2 linked regions of the Pelodiscus sinensis genome follow. The protein of the gene in region 1 interacts with the protein of each later gene in a pairwise test. Links are inferred from orthologs where the notes say so. Each region holds a gene or a part of one and is shown on either strand. Other genes may lie near its edges.

Region 1 (7,857 bases):
ATACAATTACAGGAAGAAATGCATGAAGCAAGCAACTGCCTCTAACCAAGATCTGCAATCACCATGGTATCCAGTTGTCTTTATATATAGAAGCGTTCACCTCACGTTTGCTGTGATAAAATCACCATCTTTTTTCCACAGTCACCTCCACAAAACTGGTGCTCAACAGCAACAAGTGGGGCAAAGGACATCAGGCGTAGAGAAAGCAAGCCATGACAGCCTCCTCTGCACGGAACCAAGGTCAGCAAAGCGACACATGCTAACAGTATCACAGCTCAGTCAACCAAAAATAACTACACATGACAGAGATGGGCAAGCCAAAGTGTTCTTCAGCCTACAGCATGCACAGAACCACCACTAACAGCCCCCTGGCTCACAGGTCGTTTATGTAGTCCGGAGCCCACAGAATAATGAAATGGGGGAGAAGCCAAAGAGGAATTGAACAAATTCAGCTGCGACAGCTTCAGGACAGATAATCAAATCTATTGTTCCAGGACAAGTTCAGCTGTTTCCAAAATTGAAGAGAAATTTCCCATGGCTGAAGAAACACTACAAACCACTCACATGCCACTACTGAATCACAGTGATGCAAGAAACTCTGATCACACACATTAGAGAAAGCTAGGCACATCTGGCTTCCCTAGCCTTGTCCCAAGTGGGACTAGGGGCCGTTTTGGTTTGAGTGGAGAGATTTATTTTGAAAAACATTAAATGAATCACTGGCCACTGTACTGCTAGGGACGCCTGGGGAAGTGACGTGAAAATTAACAGGCAACTAGAGTGTGCATGTCTTTGTTAGCTTTAATTCCAACTAAAAAGCACTGGGCAAGATGAAGTAGGAAGGGAGTCGAGTGGGGGGCGAAGTGGTTCAGTGTGAAATCAGGAGCCAGGACTCTCGGATTCTATTCCCAGCTCTGGGAGAGAATGTGGCCTAGTGGTTAGAGAAGAAGCCTCTGCGTTATTGCTGGCTCGTCAAGCATTCCTCCAGGTTACGGGCTTCACCTCGTAGAGCTTCAGCGTCTCCATTTGGAAAACGAGGCCGATAGCAGAGACCTGCTTGCCGGGGAGCCCCCTCTGCTCAAAACCCACCCGGGGGGGGGGGGGAAGGGAGGTTTGCAGAAAGGCAAAGGGGGGGGGGAGGTTTGCAGAAAGGCAAAGGGGGGGGGGGAGGTTTGCAGAAAGGCAAAGGGGGGGGGATGCTCCTAGCAGGGCCCCCCCCCGGACTCTCCAGCGATGCCGCGCTGGGAAGGTTCGGGCCGCAAACGTCGCCAAAAGCGAACGCGGGTCGGACGCTCCTTGTGCCTCGCGCCGGGCACGTTCCGCGAGCAGCGCAGCGCGGGGAAGCACCCGGGGGGGGGCCGCCTGGGACCCCCCCGCCGCTGGCTCAGCCCCCCCAGCAGGGCAGGGGCCCCGATCCGCTCTTGGCCCCCCGAAGCTGGGGGGAGCCCAGCCCGCAGGGAGCGCGCGGCGCGGAGCGGGGGGGGACAGAACCTGCCCGGGCTCTTCTGTCGCCAAAGCCGCCAGCGAGACTGGCGGGGGCAGCACCGGAGTGACCCCCCCGGCAGTTCCCTCCCCCCACAGCGCCCCTCTCACCACCGCTTCCGCTCAGCCATGGGGCCTGACCCGGAAGCAGAACGGCCCTAACCCCACTCCCGGCCCCTCCCGTGAGCGGCGCCCCTTGCGTGGTGACGTCACGCCGTGGCTCCGTGGGGCGGGGCCCGTAGCAAGAGCCGCGGCCCCCATCGCCCCCCCCCCCGGCCTGGTCAGAACGAGACCGCGGGGCGTTTGGAACGAGGCAGCGCCCCCCCCCCCCCGGGAACAGACTGGGCCCGGCTCCGGGGGGGGGCAGCCGGGGGCCTCCCCCACCCCCTAACGACCTCTCCCCCCCCGCGCTGGGGCCTCTTCCCCCCCCCCGGCCTCTTTCCCCCCTCCGGACTCTCCTCCCCCCCCCGCGCTGGGGCCTCTCCCCCCCCGACTCTCCCCCCCACGGCCTCTTCTCCCCCCCCCCCCCCGCGCTGGGGCCTCTCCCCCCCCCGGCCTCTCCCCCCCCCCGGCCTCTTCTCCCCCCCCCCCGCGCTGGGGCCTCTCCCCCCCCCCGGCCTCTTCCCCCCACCGGCCTCTTCTCCCCCCCCCCCCCCGCGCTGGGGCCCCCGGGCCCCGGCCCCAGCCGGCACTGGGGGCTTCACTGATGGTTTCTGCGGGGCTGGTCCTTTCATGGGCGGCTGGCGGCAGCCCTGGACACGGGCTCGTCTCCCCTGACTCTTCCCTCCTGCTGGGCCCTTGGCAGGAGCAGCGAGGTGCAGGGCTGGGCTGCTGGGGAGCAGCCAACGCACTGGAGTCAAGGGTGCTGTGGGCTTGACAGGCATCAGCAAGGCTCCGTCCTGCCCGCCACACGCAGCTACCTCCATCGCTGGGGTGTGATCCAGCCCCCACAGGCTGCTTGCTGCTCCCCACCCTGCAGCAGGTGCACCGCTCGGCTATGCAAAACGTATCCCTCCCGCCGCCTCATCCAGAGACAGATGCCACATGCTGGGGGTTACCTAGGCTCTCGGTTGTACCGGAGCTACCAAGTACCATGGGGCAGGAGGAATTGGTGTGGCAAACGATTTCCAATCAAAGACCACAAGGCCAATTGGATACATAATAGCAATGTAGCAGCATTATTCACTTTGCAAGGGATTGTTCCTACCGGTAATTGGGATAATTTAGCTTAAGGAGAGTGATTTTACTTTGGTAGGTGGTGCTATGCAGTCAGGGGTTTGATGGTCACTAAACACAGCCTTTCAGAATGTCCCTCATCCCCACTAGGCCAGTCCTGAAAACATTATAGGAGAGGAGTCATGCACGTTTCATTTGTAACTTGCCCTGCCTACCTCAGTTTCTTCCTGCTTTTACAGTGAAGCTTTGGACATAGGCCAATTGCTAAAGAAGGGACTAGAGCCACTGGCAGAAACATAACACAACCATGCTGGTTGCCCCAGCAGGAAGGGGCCAGGAGTCAGCATATCTCAACTCCAATCCCACCTCTGTTGCATAAAGCCTATTTAGCCTTAGCCAGTCAAACGTTAAAATACCTTGACATTTGAGTCTGCCCATGCCCAGACCACAGGAGAGTCAGTCTCCTCAAAAATGGCCTTGGTTCTAGGATTTTTGTCAATTCCAGAACATCATTAGTTCCTTCTAATAGTCATGGTGACCTTCAGTGTTGACAGCAACATTCTGCTGGAGGTATTGCACTGCAGCCAAGGGCGTTTTGCCTGAGAAGAAAAAAACCCAAATGGATCTGAAGCTCTGTGATATACAGGAGGGTGGACCTTTGTGTTGGCTCTGGCTCAAAACACCGGCCCTCAGCCATTAATAGTGCTGATGCCCCTTCCCTCATAACTATGCCAGCTACTCTTCTGTGTGCGCCCAGCCGTTTCAAACCTGCTGATTCAGTCAAACAGCAAACATCTCAAAATGACAAGCATGTATTTTCCAGATTTTTATTACAGGAAAAAAGTGAACTAAGCTGGTACAGCTGGTAAAATTGAGAACATTTCTCACAAAGATTACCTAGAAAGCTCACCCAGAACACTGAGCTAATGCCTAATGTAATGCTTTTTCTGTAGGTATGGCTAGTAACAAAGCCATAATCAGGTATTTAAATATGTAAAGCCATTTTAGAAAGAATGAGGATTTAGGGTGTTTTGTGCATACAATTTTCCACACTGACCTCTGTCTGTGTATTAGCTTATTACCAGTAACACCAGTAAAGTCTAGGGAACACATAATGGAGAAGAGTGTCAATGGTTAAGACAAGGTATGTACCTGATTTATAGACTGGCTGGTATTACCCAACAGAGTATTTCTTCTCTCCACCACACTAAATAGATAATCAATGACTAAGTAATCCTTGAGATCTCTCAAATGCAGCTACAGAAACTGTCCAGCATAGTCTGACTACAACTTTTTAAAATTAGTTACACACACATTAGAACTGAAACATTTACTTTGTAAAAAATACACTATTTGAGAACATTCACCTCTAAATGTGAATTGTCTCTAGGCAAGAGTACTAGGCGAAAATAAATTTTACACAAACTGATTAAAAAAACTCCCAGAGGGGGAAGAAATGAAATACTTTTTTTTCCTGAAATACTGTCAGAAATCAGCCCTGACCCATTTGCAATTTAAGATCAGACCGTCACAAAGCACAGATGATCAGGGAAAAAAATGCTTCTACTTCATCCTCTGTAGATATAGCAAAACCACCTATAAAAGCTTAGGAAGTATGTAGTAAAAATATGAAAAATGGCACATATTGAAAAAGTGTAAGACCCTGCTTTTGTTCAGAGTCCACCTCTCAAAATTAGATAGATGATTACACAAGTAAAAATAGCAATTTGTTCTTTTAGGCAGCATTACCGTTACAAGATTAATACTGGAATTAGACTCTTTGAGATTCATACAATAGCTTCTGAGCTGGAGTATACTGCTAATTTTTGGAGCAACAAGAATTCTTCCCACCATGCTTAATTTCTAATTAGTTGATTCCAATTTAGGTAGGAGAAATGCCTGTTTCAGTGTTGCAAGAGGAAAATGTAGCCAGTTTGGACAATGTTATGGATAACACAACATAGGTCTGGGTTTTGAAACTAATTTGGAAATGTCTTAGGCACTATCTGCCTTAGAGAACCATTGGTGTCATATTAATCAGCGTCAACCCGACCGTTCTAATTCCCATTAAGTCTAGACACACTCATGAGGCTGTGTCTACACTGGCGCGATCTTGTGCAAAAGCAGCCGCTCTTGCATAAAAACTTGCTGCCTGTCTACACCGTCCATGTGTTCTTGCGCAAGTAAACTGATGTTCTAATGTATGAAATCAGGGCTTCTTGCGTCAGAACTCTGCCGCTGCCGCTCAGGAATAAGCCATTTTCCGCAACTGTTCTTGTGCGAGAGGCTAGTGTAAACAGGCAACATGAATTTCTTGCGCAAGAATGTCCTATGGTTAAATGGCCGTCAGAGCTCTCTTGCGCAAGAGAGCGTCTACACTGACAAGGATGCTCTTGCGCAAAAGCACATGCCAGTGTAGACTCTCTCTTACACAACTACTTTAACACAAGAACTCTTGCGCTAAAGAGTTTTTGCGCACGATCACGCCAGTGTAGACGTAGCCTCAGTGTTGTACTAGTGGAAGGTTTTACCCTGCAGCCACGTGAATGCGGCACTTTGGCCTTTGTGAATGTATCCCAAAGTTCTCAACACTGCTTCCTGGTGAATTCTGGTTATCCTGCTGTGGTGACTGATGTGCTTTAGCACAACAGCGAGGGAAATGCTTTCACCAGTTGTATCGTACTACTGTGGTGAGACATTCCCATTGGCATGGTCTTTAGCACCAGCTGATGCAGCTCAGCCAGTAAACTATGAACTTAGGAGATTCCGAATAAGAGTACTGTTGAAGCAAAAACACGCTTCTTTGTGTTTAGGCAGCTAACAAGCAGCTTTATTAATTAATAAAGCACAGCATGAGCCAAACGTGGTTACAGCAGAGCCAGACCCAGTAAAGCTACTAATACAATTAATTTTAGTATTTTTATACCCTTAACCAAACAGTTTGACGTTAGGGCATCCAATTACAGAAATTTTTAATTAAATTTGGAAAAACAAAGCCTTATCAACAAGATGGCGGACAGGTGCGAGGGAGTACATTTTCTGTTCCAACCAGCCCAATTAACACATATCAATAGCCCATTCTGTAGGCCTTTTTTTACGGGGTGACAGAAAGTTTACTTTGGTTTACGTGCTTGAGAGAAAAGCTGAAATGGTTTCTGATATACAAGATGGCTTTTAGCTAAATATGAAAATGGTTTTTACAGCTTCTACAGTACATAGCACTTCTCACGGATTTAACGCTACAGCCATGAGGAGACTCTAATGGAGACAGGACCCTGGAAAATGTATGTTTTAATCGCACTATTTTCATGCCTGGAGAAATAGAAAAGTCTCTAGCCTTTCCTCGGGAACCCTGCATTTCGATTCTGTAATTGCAAAGCTGGACAGAGGGAAGAGCATCTGATCTGATCTCCTTCCTCAGCCTAAAGATATCTACACTAGGGATGTCAAATCCTGTTTAATCAGTTAACTGGTTAAACGTTATGTTTAACTGGCTGACCAATTAAACCGGGCGAGCAGGGGGGAGGCTGTGCTGGAGTGTCCCCCCCCAACCACCACAGATGGGGGCTGTTCCATCTGGGCTTGTGCATCCCTGCCCACAGCATGCCTGGAGCCTGGGGGGGGGGGCTCCTCCAGCCCCCACTGATTAACCATAGCCCACACCCATTATGGCTAAACATTCACAGCCCTAATTTATCCAAGGGATGGTTGGACCGTTAATGCCCCTGATTAAAGTGCTTTTAATTACATCAAGTTTTGAAACTCCCCAAAGGCTGGGTCTAGGCTAAGCCCAGGATTTCCAAAGGGTGCTAAGTGAAAAAAAACTGCAGCCTGAGCCAGCAGACTCCCTTTAACACGGGGGGAGGAAGTGGGGGCTAAGCCAGCTGCACTGTGGTCACAGTTCTTCTTGGTCAGACGATGCCGTTTACACAGCGGACAGGGCTTACCGTCACAACCGCCAGCAAAGATGCTGCCAAGCCGGAGTCTGTAATGCACGTCCAGAGTTTCGAGATGCTAGCAGGAGCCCACACAACAGTTAGAAAGCTGATACAGGGAGACATCTCCCGGGTAAGCAAGAGGAGCTTTTTGTCATGGATTACACACTCCGCGAAGGAAGGAAAACGAGAGACTCAAACAGTTCAGGGCGTTGGGGGCGGGTTTTGTATTTGGTCCCTGGAGTGTGATTTGAACTAAAATGTGCTTCAGAGAGCAGAAAAGGGGACAACAGCCCTGTTGTTTGCCAGCAGCAATTGATTGCTTTTAATTGTTTACCACTGATGCTCCGTCTCTTCTGACCTACCAACAGGAATGTGCACTAAAATCCAGCTGCCACAAAAGTAATTGTTTATGACGACTGCAATGCAGTGATACTATTTTAAAATGTTCACACACACAGATGAACACAATTTGTTGGGAAGAATCAACATGGCTTTTGTAAAGGCAAATCATGCCTCGCCAATCTATCAGACTTCTCCGAGGGGATAACAAACATATGGATAAGCACGATCTAGTGAATATAGTGTTCTTGGACTTTGGGAAAGCTTTTGATGAGGTCCGTCACCAAAGGCTCTTAAGAAAGCCAACCAGTCATGGGTAAAGAGGGAAGGCCATCTTGTGGATTGGTAACTGGTTAAAAGACAGGAAACAAAGGGTAGGAATAAAAAGTCAGTTTTCAGAATGGAGAGAGGTAAAAACTGGGGTCTCCCAAGGTATGTCTACACAGCAAAGTTATTTCGGGATACCAGAGGTCTTTTGAACGTGTCTGCTGTTTCAAAATAAAGCGGACGCGCTATTTCACCATCCCTGTAAACCTCATCGTACGAGGAGTAAGGGGTGGCTCGAAATAGCACTGTATGTCGAAATTTGGCATTGTGTAGACAGCACCAAATGACAAAATGAGCTACGCAATTTGCGTCCCTTATTTCGAGTTTCGGGTGCTATGTAGACGCACCCCCAGGAACCTGTAATGGGACCAGTGCTGTGATCTGGAAAAGCGGGGAAACAGTGAAGTGGCAAAGTCTACAGAGAACACAAAACTGCTCACAAGAGGTAAGTCCAAAGCAGACTGAAGAGTTGCAAAGGGATCTCACAAAACTGGGTGACTGAACAACAAAATGGCAGATTAAATTCAGTGTTGATAAATGCACATTTTGAAAACAATGCTAACTGTGCACACACAACCATGGGATCTAAATTAGC
Region 2 (7,507 bases), on another chromosome or scaffold:
GAAAAAGAAATCTATGTATAATCTGAAACTCGTTAGGAAAATTTAAAAAACATGTATAAACCCCCATCAATTTTAAGAATGTCCAACTATGAAAATGGGGAGACAGGAATGTAGTAGAATGCCAAATATGTAATTGCATATTGGAATAACGTGCAGAGCAGCATACTTGCCTTGATTATTAGATTGAAGATTTGTATTGGGAGACATCAGAAACACTAGTTAATTGAGCTTTCTGATTAAGTGTTGGATAACAGAGCTTTTACAGTATAATATGAATTAAAATATATGATTCTTTTAAAATCTTGATTTTTATCCACCCACTTCCAATCAAAAGAAAAGGCATTACATCAATGTAGATTTCAAGAGTCACTTTTATCATGAACCACAAGGAAAATCTTAAATGAAGTAATGCATACAGTTACGTGTAAAAAACTATATTATAGCTTCCCCCCGCATACCGAAAGTTAAAGGGTTAACTTCTGAAACACACACACACACACACACACACACACACACACACACAGTAAATTAATCTATAATAACTTGTTCTCTGCCCAGGTCCATGAAGTATTTCAAAATGACTGTCGTTATTAATTGCTGAAATGGGTGTGGCAGAAAATTAAGCAGAACAGTGACAATAATTTGACATAAGGCTCACAAAGCAAATAAAAAGCCCACCAATTAAAAAAAAAAAAAAAAGTAGATCACTTACTAGTAATGCTGAATGAACAACTGGAGGATTGGGGTGATCCAAAAACAAAATAAGGCCTGGGAGACATCCCTGATCCTGAACGATGGCTCGTCTATTTAAGGGGTCAGCTGCCAGGTCTCGCAGCTGGTTAACTACTGCTAGTGCATCAGGCTCTTCATTCATAGTGGAGTTCATTTTCTTATGCCAACACCTGTTAAAAAAAATCAATATTAATAACACTTCATTTTAATCAATCTCAGATTAAACTGTAGTCAATATAGAATACAACATTCTGCCTTGTACTTAGAGGCATACGGATAAATGGAATTCACAAAATGAGGGAAATTCACAAAATGTGAAGCTGGAAATTTAAGAGTCTATATAAAGAGAATGACAATTTTTGTTAGCTGTTTGATCTTCATGTACAATGTTTAGGCCTGACAATCTTTACAGAATATACATACACAATAATTGATAAAAGTATTGTCAAATATTGCTCAGATCAATTACAGTCATAGATGACAAACTGGTTTATTAATGATGACGCTGTCTACAGAAACCAGAAACATGTCTCAATTCTGTATTATATCAAAAGTAAATCTGTAAAGAAATATACAGTTCAGGTATCCATAATACATTTTTTAAAGTGAAAGCTTCAACTTTCATATAAATCTCCTCACAAAGCACTCTAGCAAATTGTAAAGGAAAATCATGCCTCAGCAAAAACCATGTTGACTCTTCCCCAATAAATCACATGCATCTATGGTGGTGTCTGAAAATTCTGTTTTTTACTCTAGTTTCAAGCAGTTTTCAGACCAATGTTAGTTTCTGTGTGACAGTAGCTGTCACTAATATTTCCTTCACACAGATTGTTAGAGTGATGAACAGGTATTATTGACCTGCTTCAAGGTTATTCCCCCCCAAGAACACCATAAGATTGGTACAAGTCAAATAAGAAGCTAATATTTCATATAATTAGCATTTTACATTTGCAAAGCACTCTGCACACAATTTTCACAAAATCCCTGTAAACCAGGTAACTATTTTTGTTCCCTTTTTATAGGCACAGATACTTTAATTTACCTTAGACCAGACATCCAGTCAATAACAGACCTAAAGTTGTAACCAGAATGCTTTATGTCCAGTCTCATGCTCAAATCACAAGGTCATTCATTCCCTTTTATTGCATACTACAAAATAATTATTTTATTTAACTAACTTCTGTTGATGACAGAGACAAGCTTTTGAGCATACACCACATTAATTATTTAGGTTTAGAAAACTAAGACCTGAAGGAATGCTCTTTATAAGCTCAAAAGTTTGTTTCTCACCAACAAAAACTGGTCCAATAAAAGACATTACCTCGCCCACTTGGTTTTTTTAAAAATTTACTGGGACCAAGACTACAACAAACCTGTATATGAATAATTCTGTTGTTTTTATACAATGTTTTTCTATTTAAAAAAAGGCAAAGCCATGTTTCTACTTTTTTTATTGAAATAGAAAGAACTTGGGGATTAAGTTAGACAAATTGATTTGACATCAGAACTTCTAGATTATTTTCAAATCTTTGCCACGGATTTTTGAAATCTCAGAAAATAACTTAATCTTGCCTCTGTTTTATTATCTGCAGACATGGATATTACTGATCTCACATAGCAGAATGCATTAGTGTGTGTAAAGTGTTTTAAAATCCTCAGAATGCAGTGTTACTATTATTCATACACATGGAAAAACATCAGCTTCACGAACCCATCTCCTGACACTTCAAAAAAAACCAACCTTGTAGCTGAAAGAATGTAGAAACTAGTAAGGTTGCTGCCGCACATAAACACGCAATTTACAAAAGGAGCAACAGATGACTTAATCCAGAATAACTCGGTTACTTTCTTCCCTCTTTGCTAGCGGGGGGAAATCCCTCCTCTAGGACTTGTACAGTTTGCTCTGGCTAACTCAGCAGCCCCCACCCCCACCGCTCCTCCCCTTAAGTTACAGAGTCTGGACCATGCTGCACCAAGGCCAACCCACCCCCTGCGGCGGTCACTCGCGCACCCCTTCCCGCCTGTAAAGTGCATGCCCGGGTCTCGCCGCTCCCGCCTCCGGCTGCCTCCTGAGCCGGCCCCCTCCGTGGGCAACCCCAATCCCCTCACCCCGCCCCCTCCTCAGCCTGACCCTTGTACCCTCCAGCGGCCTCACCCTCTGTTCAGGACCCGACGCGAGATCCAGCCTGGTCCCCCGGGCCACTTACCGCTGCAGGAAAGTTTCACAGGCCCGGGCGGCTCAGCATCGTGACTGGCCGGGCTTCGCGTCGCTGAGGCCTGGTAACGGGCGTCGGAGGGGGACAATAGGAGGGAAGAAAATTCAGGTCCTCTACACACACAACCCCCACCGGGAGCACCTACCTCACCCCGATTGGCCGAAGCGAACAGCGCCCCTCCGCCATTCACAGCAAACGTTGTTCCACTACACACTGATTGGCCACTCCCACGGCATTGTGGGTAGAACAGCGTCAGGCCAGGGAAACTACACGGTCCAGAATGCCCCGCTTCCTTTGCCTGGCGCGCTCTGGCTGCCTCTGGAGAACAACATAATGGGATGTGTAGTCTCGGAAGGCTTTACTAGGACCACGGCATGTTCTGCGGGGCTGTTTCTTGGCTATTCGAGTCCAGCAGCGCCTTGCACTTTGCTGCCTGTTGTCCAAGCGCCTGGAATATTGTACTGTGGGATCCATAGTCTCTGTGAACTCTGTGAACCTGTAGTCTCCGTCTGCTCAAACCCCTGAGGTTTGACTAAGGCAGTTTGTATAAATGGATTTAATCTAGGCAGGAGTGGATTACTATGGATAACGCTGATGTACTTGAAGGTTGCTACGGTTGCTGAGAATGTAACGCAAGGCCATCTGTGGTACAAGCGGTTCAGTGCAGTCAGCCTTTCTGTATACTGCAGGGTTCTAGAGTGCTTCCACGAAAGTGACTTAATTGTGATCACAGCGGAGTTTTAAACTACAGTAGAAACAACATCCCTAGTTTCATAGAACCAATTCTGACACAAAGAATGCACTGGAAAAATAAACTATACCTGGTAATCTAGAATCGTCTTAGAGATGCAATGTGCAGAATTTACCTAATTTTAAGATCTGTCACTTTGTGGATCTAAGGCAAAATAATTTGATTAAAATTAACAACTAAACTGTCAACTAAACAAACCTATGCCGATGAATATGTGTTTCATTATCAATTTAGATTAACTTTAAAATTTAAATAATTTTACAAATCCTATTTACGTGTTTTGTTTACTTCTGCACTTCTCATACCTTGTACAATGAAGTTTCAAATTTGAAACTGACAAGAAACAATCAGGTCCTTCTCAGCTACAACCATTACAGAGGGATGTTAATTTTTAAACAACAGTTTGCATTTTGTTCTATTTTGGAAACATTTGTATTTTTTAGGTTTTAGAAAAGCTTGTTTTATCAGTATTAAAACTTTAAGCTAAATTTAAATTGACTTTTTAATCCAGTGTTAGCATGTTTCAAATCTTGGAAAGCTGAACACCTCTCCTCTTTTGAGAAAATGAAACCAATTATGTACTTTTGTAGGTGGTCATAATACTTTTATCTTTTTTACATGCTTTCTTGAGACATTAAATTAACAATATTGACATATAAAGTGTCACTGGCATCACCCTAAGTTAATACCCATTGAAAAGAATATGGCAGTCCACACCTCAGGACTTAAGGTGTTCTGCAATATCATATAGATATTTCTTCAATATCCACTTGACATTTTGAAAAAATTCCTTGCAACCCTGATAGTGACTATTCTTTTTAATAAAAGTTGGGATGCTGGACTAGAAAGGGATAGGTGTCTGTACCTCCTTCACTAGTCCTTCTCACTTTCTTCTGCCTCTGTCTCGGTAAGTATTACACTTTGAAAAACATTACTTTATTCATAGCTCAGTATGTTGAATTTAAGAATTCTAGCAATACTATTAAACTGCATTTTTTGTCTGAAGAGTGATGTTTGAACAGGGTAATTTACTAAATAACCAATGAAAGATGAGAGTAGGATAATTTGAAATGACAAATAGGGATGCATTTTTCAATTCAATTCAACTAAAATGGACAAAGAGAGTTGTCAGGGTTTCAGGATGAACTGTAGCTTTGATTCTCCTCCCCCCATCTTCCTCCAGAATACCTACTTAAGGTTTCAGGCTCCATCCAGCTATCATTTATCTCAGGAAAAGACCCACATCTCTCCCCTTTGGTCTGGGGCTTTAGGCTGGCAGTGCTCTACATCTTACTATGATTTCTGAAGCAGTTCTGACCAAGTTCCAGCACCTGTACTTAATCTTTTCTCAGGGGCTTCAACAATGTACACCAGTTACCAGCCAGCCTTTACAAAGCACTTACAGTCAAATCAATTTTGAGAAAACAAAAAAATCAGTAAACTGATTTAAACAAACTAAATATACCAGGAGTTATTAGCCTTATGGGGGCACAGAAGGCCACAATCTTTCCAATCCTTCCCCTGTTCCCCAAGAGTTGCTCCCCTCCCTTGGAAATAATATTTCTTAGAGGAGCTGTCACTCTCCTGCCCTCCAGTTACATAAGAACAAAAACATAAGAACGGCCATACTGGATCAGATCAAAGGTCCATCTAGCTCAGTATCCTGTCGGCCAACAGTGGCCAATATCAGATGCCCCACAGGAAAGGAACACAACAGGTAATCCTCATGTGATCCCTCTCCTGTCGTCCATTTTCCAGACAGAGGCTAGGGACACCATTCCTACCCATCCTGGCTAATAATCTATCTAGGTCTGTTGTCATTACATCATAATAACACAAGAGAGATACTTTGATGGACTTAAACAATTCTCTGATTTTTTAAACAATAAGTATCCTTCTGCCACACTGGAAACCCAAACACAGCAGCACCCAGCGCTGGAGGAGACCCAACGGCATCCCCATCCAGCGGAGGCACAGATCTCACGGGTAGACCCAGGCTGACGTACGCGGCAAGACCCGTGTGTCCGCGGGGAGCTCTGTGCCACCCTCTCTCGGGGTTTGGTTTGCCCCGGCCGCCCGCACCGGACCAGCATGTCAGCAGCCTGGACGATTTCCAATAGGGCCCGCGCGCACGCTGAACGGCCAATCAGGGCTTGCCGGGCCGCGCAGGCGACATCATCACGGGATTGGCCGTTGGCAGGCGCCCTTCAATCACTGGCGCGAACGGGGCGGGGCAGACCCGAGCTGGGCTGCTGCCGGTTAGGCCGCGGCGCTCCGTCCCACTAGTGTGTGGCAGGCTAGGTCCCGCCTCTCTCAGGCGCAGTGCTGATTGGGCAGTACCGGGCCTGTGCGGCTCGGGATTGGCTGTGCGGAGAGGGCGGAGCCTTGAGTCACTGCCCCTGAGGAGCCGGAGACCGGCGAGTGAGCGCTGAGGCCTTGGCTAGGTAGGGGGTGAGTCTGTGCTGGGCGTGGCCAGGTGTCCGCCCGGGGATCTGCTGGGGCCGGTGTGTCTCTCTCCCGGGAGCCTGATGGGCTGAGGCGCGGCGCCGGGAAGCCCCCGCGGAAGATCAGAGCCCGGTGCGGCCGGGTGAGGCGCAAGGGCGGGCAGCTGGGTTCCGAGCTCAGCCTGGTGCCGACCCGCTCCCCTCCCCGCTGTTTCTCCCCTTTCGCCGGGCTCCGCAGCCCGTGTCCTGCCCCCTCCCACGGTCCTTGGCCTGCCGGGGTCCGAGCGGGCTTCCGCCCCCAGCCCCTGGGCGAGCGGCTCCTTCAGGTCTGGCGTCCCCGGGGGAGAGTAAACTCGGAGTTAACGGGGCCTCCACTTCCGTGGCCGAGCGCATTGCCTGGGTGACGGGCGTTCACACGGGACCCTGCCCTTGCCAGTTATTGCTGGTTTCTGCCCGCCGATTGAGACCTTGTGTGAGCCTGGCGGTGTTAGTAACAGCCACGTGCAGCCTCGGGCTGCGCTCTGAAGCCTGCCTCATGTTTGCCTTTCTGATCAGCTGGTCGAGACGACAGAGTAAATATTAACTTCATATGCGGGTCTGTAGAGCCGCTGCTTCAATCATGAAATTGTTGCTCCAGCCAGCCTTAGGATGGATGGTGACCATAGGCGTGATCGGGGATGAATAACGTTTAGTACCGGCATATACGCCAGTTGACTTGTTGAATTCCTGTTGCTTCTTCGCTTACTAGTCTTGCAGCTCTTTTCCTACCCACTTCGCTGATCTCCTGAGCATTGATAGAGAGCCTCTGTGTCACTGTGCAGGTAGAGGTGGGTGCTGTGATCACTTCCAAAGAAGCCTTGCAATCTAAATCAGGTGCAAGTAGGAGATTGTAGGAACAATGAAAGAGTCTATAAGGTGCCACAGGACAACAGATTCATTGGAGCATAAGCTTTTGTGGGCAAAGACCTGCTTCATCAGATGCAAGAGATTGTAGGTAACTTCATATTTAAAACAAAATAACCTTGAGTTAATATCCATGGTTTCTAACGAGTATTTTGAATGAAGGAAGGGAGATAAGAAGAGCTCCAAAGTAGGATGTTGCAGGCTCTGTAATTTTTCCTGTTTGAGAACATCTGGTACCTTGTATGCATATGGCAATGTTGTATTTCCTTTTGGTATAAGTAGGGATGATGCATGATTAGGGATGTAAAAAGCTGTTTGTTTAACTGGTTAAAGGGGGGACAGTTGGTTGGAGGGAGGACTGCTCCAGCCTCATTTCCCTCACTTGCTGAGGCTGGGCTGAAATAACCCCTGCATCCCCCCACCCCACACTCCCTTCCTCCCTCCCTTCTGCAGGCAGTCAC

Evidence for each region.
Region 2: the proteins of MTFR1L (region 1) and ARMC1 interact in binary tests that used the Homo sapiens proteins (3 or more experiments, as listed by UniProt). The two-hybrid records come from large-scale screens. The link is inferred for Pelodiscus sinensis from reciprocal best matches to the Homo sapiens genes MTFR1L and ARMC1.

What each region holds. Positions count from the first base shown.
Region 1 is NC_134735.1:1,493,659-1,501,515, reverse strand, and holds the start of MTFR1L (mitochondrial fission regulator 1-like), read right to left. Parts: upstream 3,169-7,857; 5' UTR 3,075-3,168; intron 1,691-3,074; exon of another isoform or gene 1,594-1,690; intron 1,569-1,593; exon of another isoform or gene 1,492-1,568; intron 1,028-1,491; exon of another isoform or gene 1,003-1,027; intron 977-1,002; exon of another isoform or gene 101-976; intron 1-100. UniProt on the Homo sapiens protein: Mitochondrial protein required for adaptation of miochondrial dynamics to metabolic changes. Regulates mitochondrial morphology at steady state and mediates AMPK-dependent stress-induced mitochondrial fragmentation via the control of OPA1 levels.
Region 2 is NC_134712.1:58,844,140-58,851,646, reverse strand, and holds the start of ARMC1 (armadillo repeat-containing protein 1), read right to left. Parts: upstream 3,362-7,507; 5' UTR 3,135-3,361; coding exon 3,094-3,134; intron 3,088-3,093; exon of another isoform or gene 2,940-3,087; intron 903-2,939; coding exon 713-902; intron 1-712.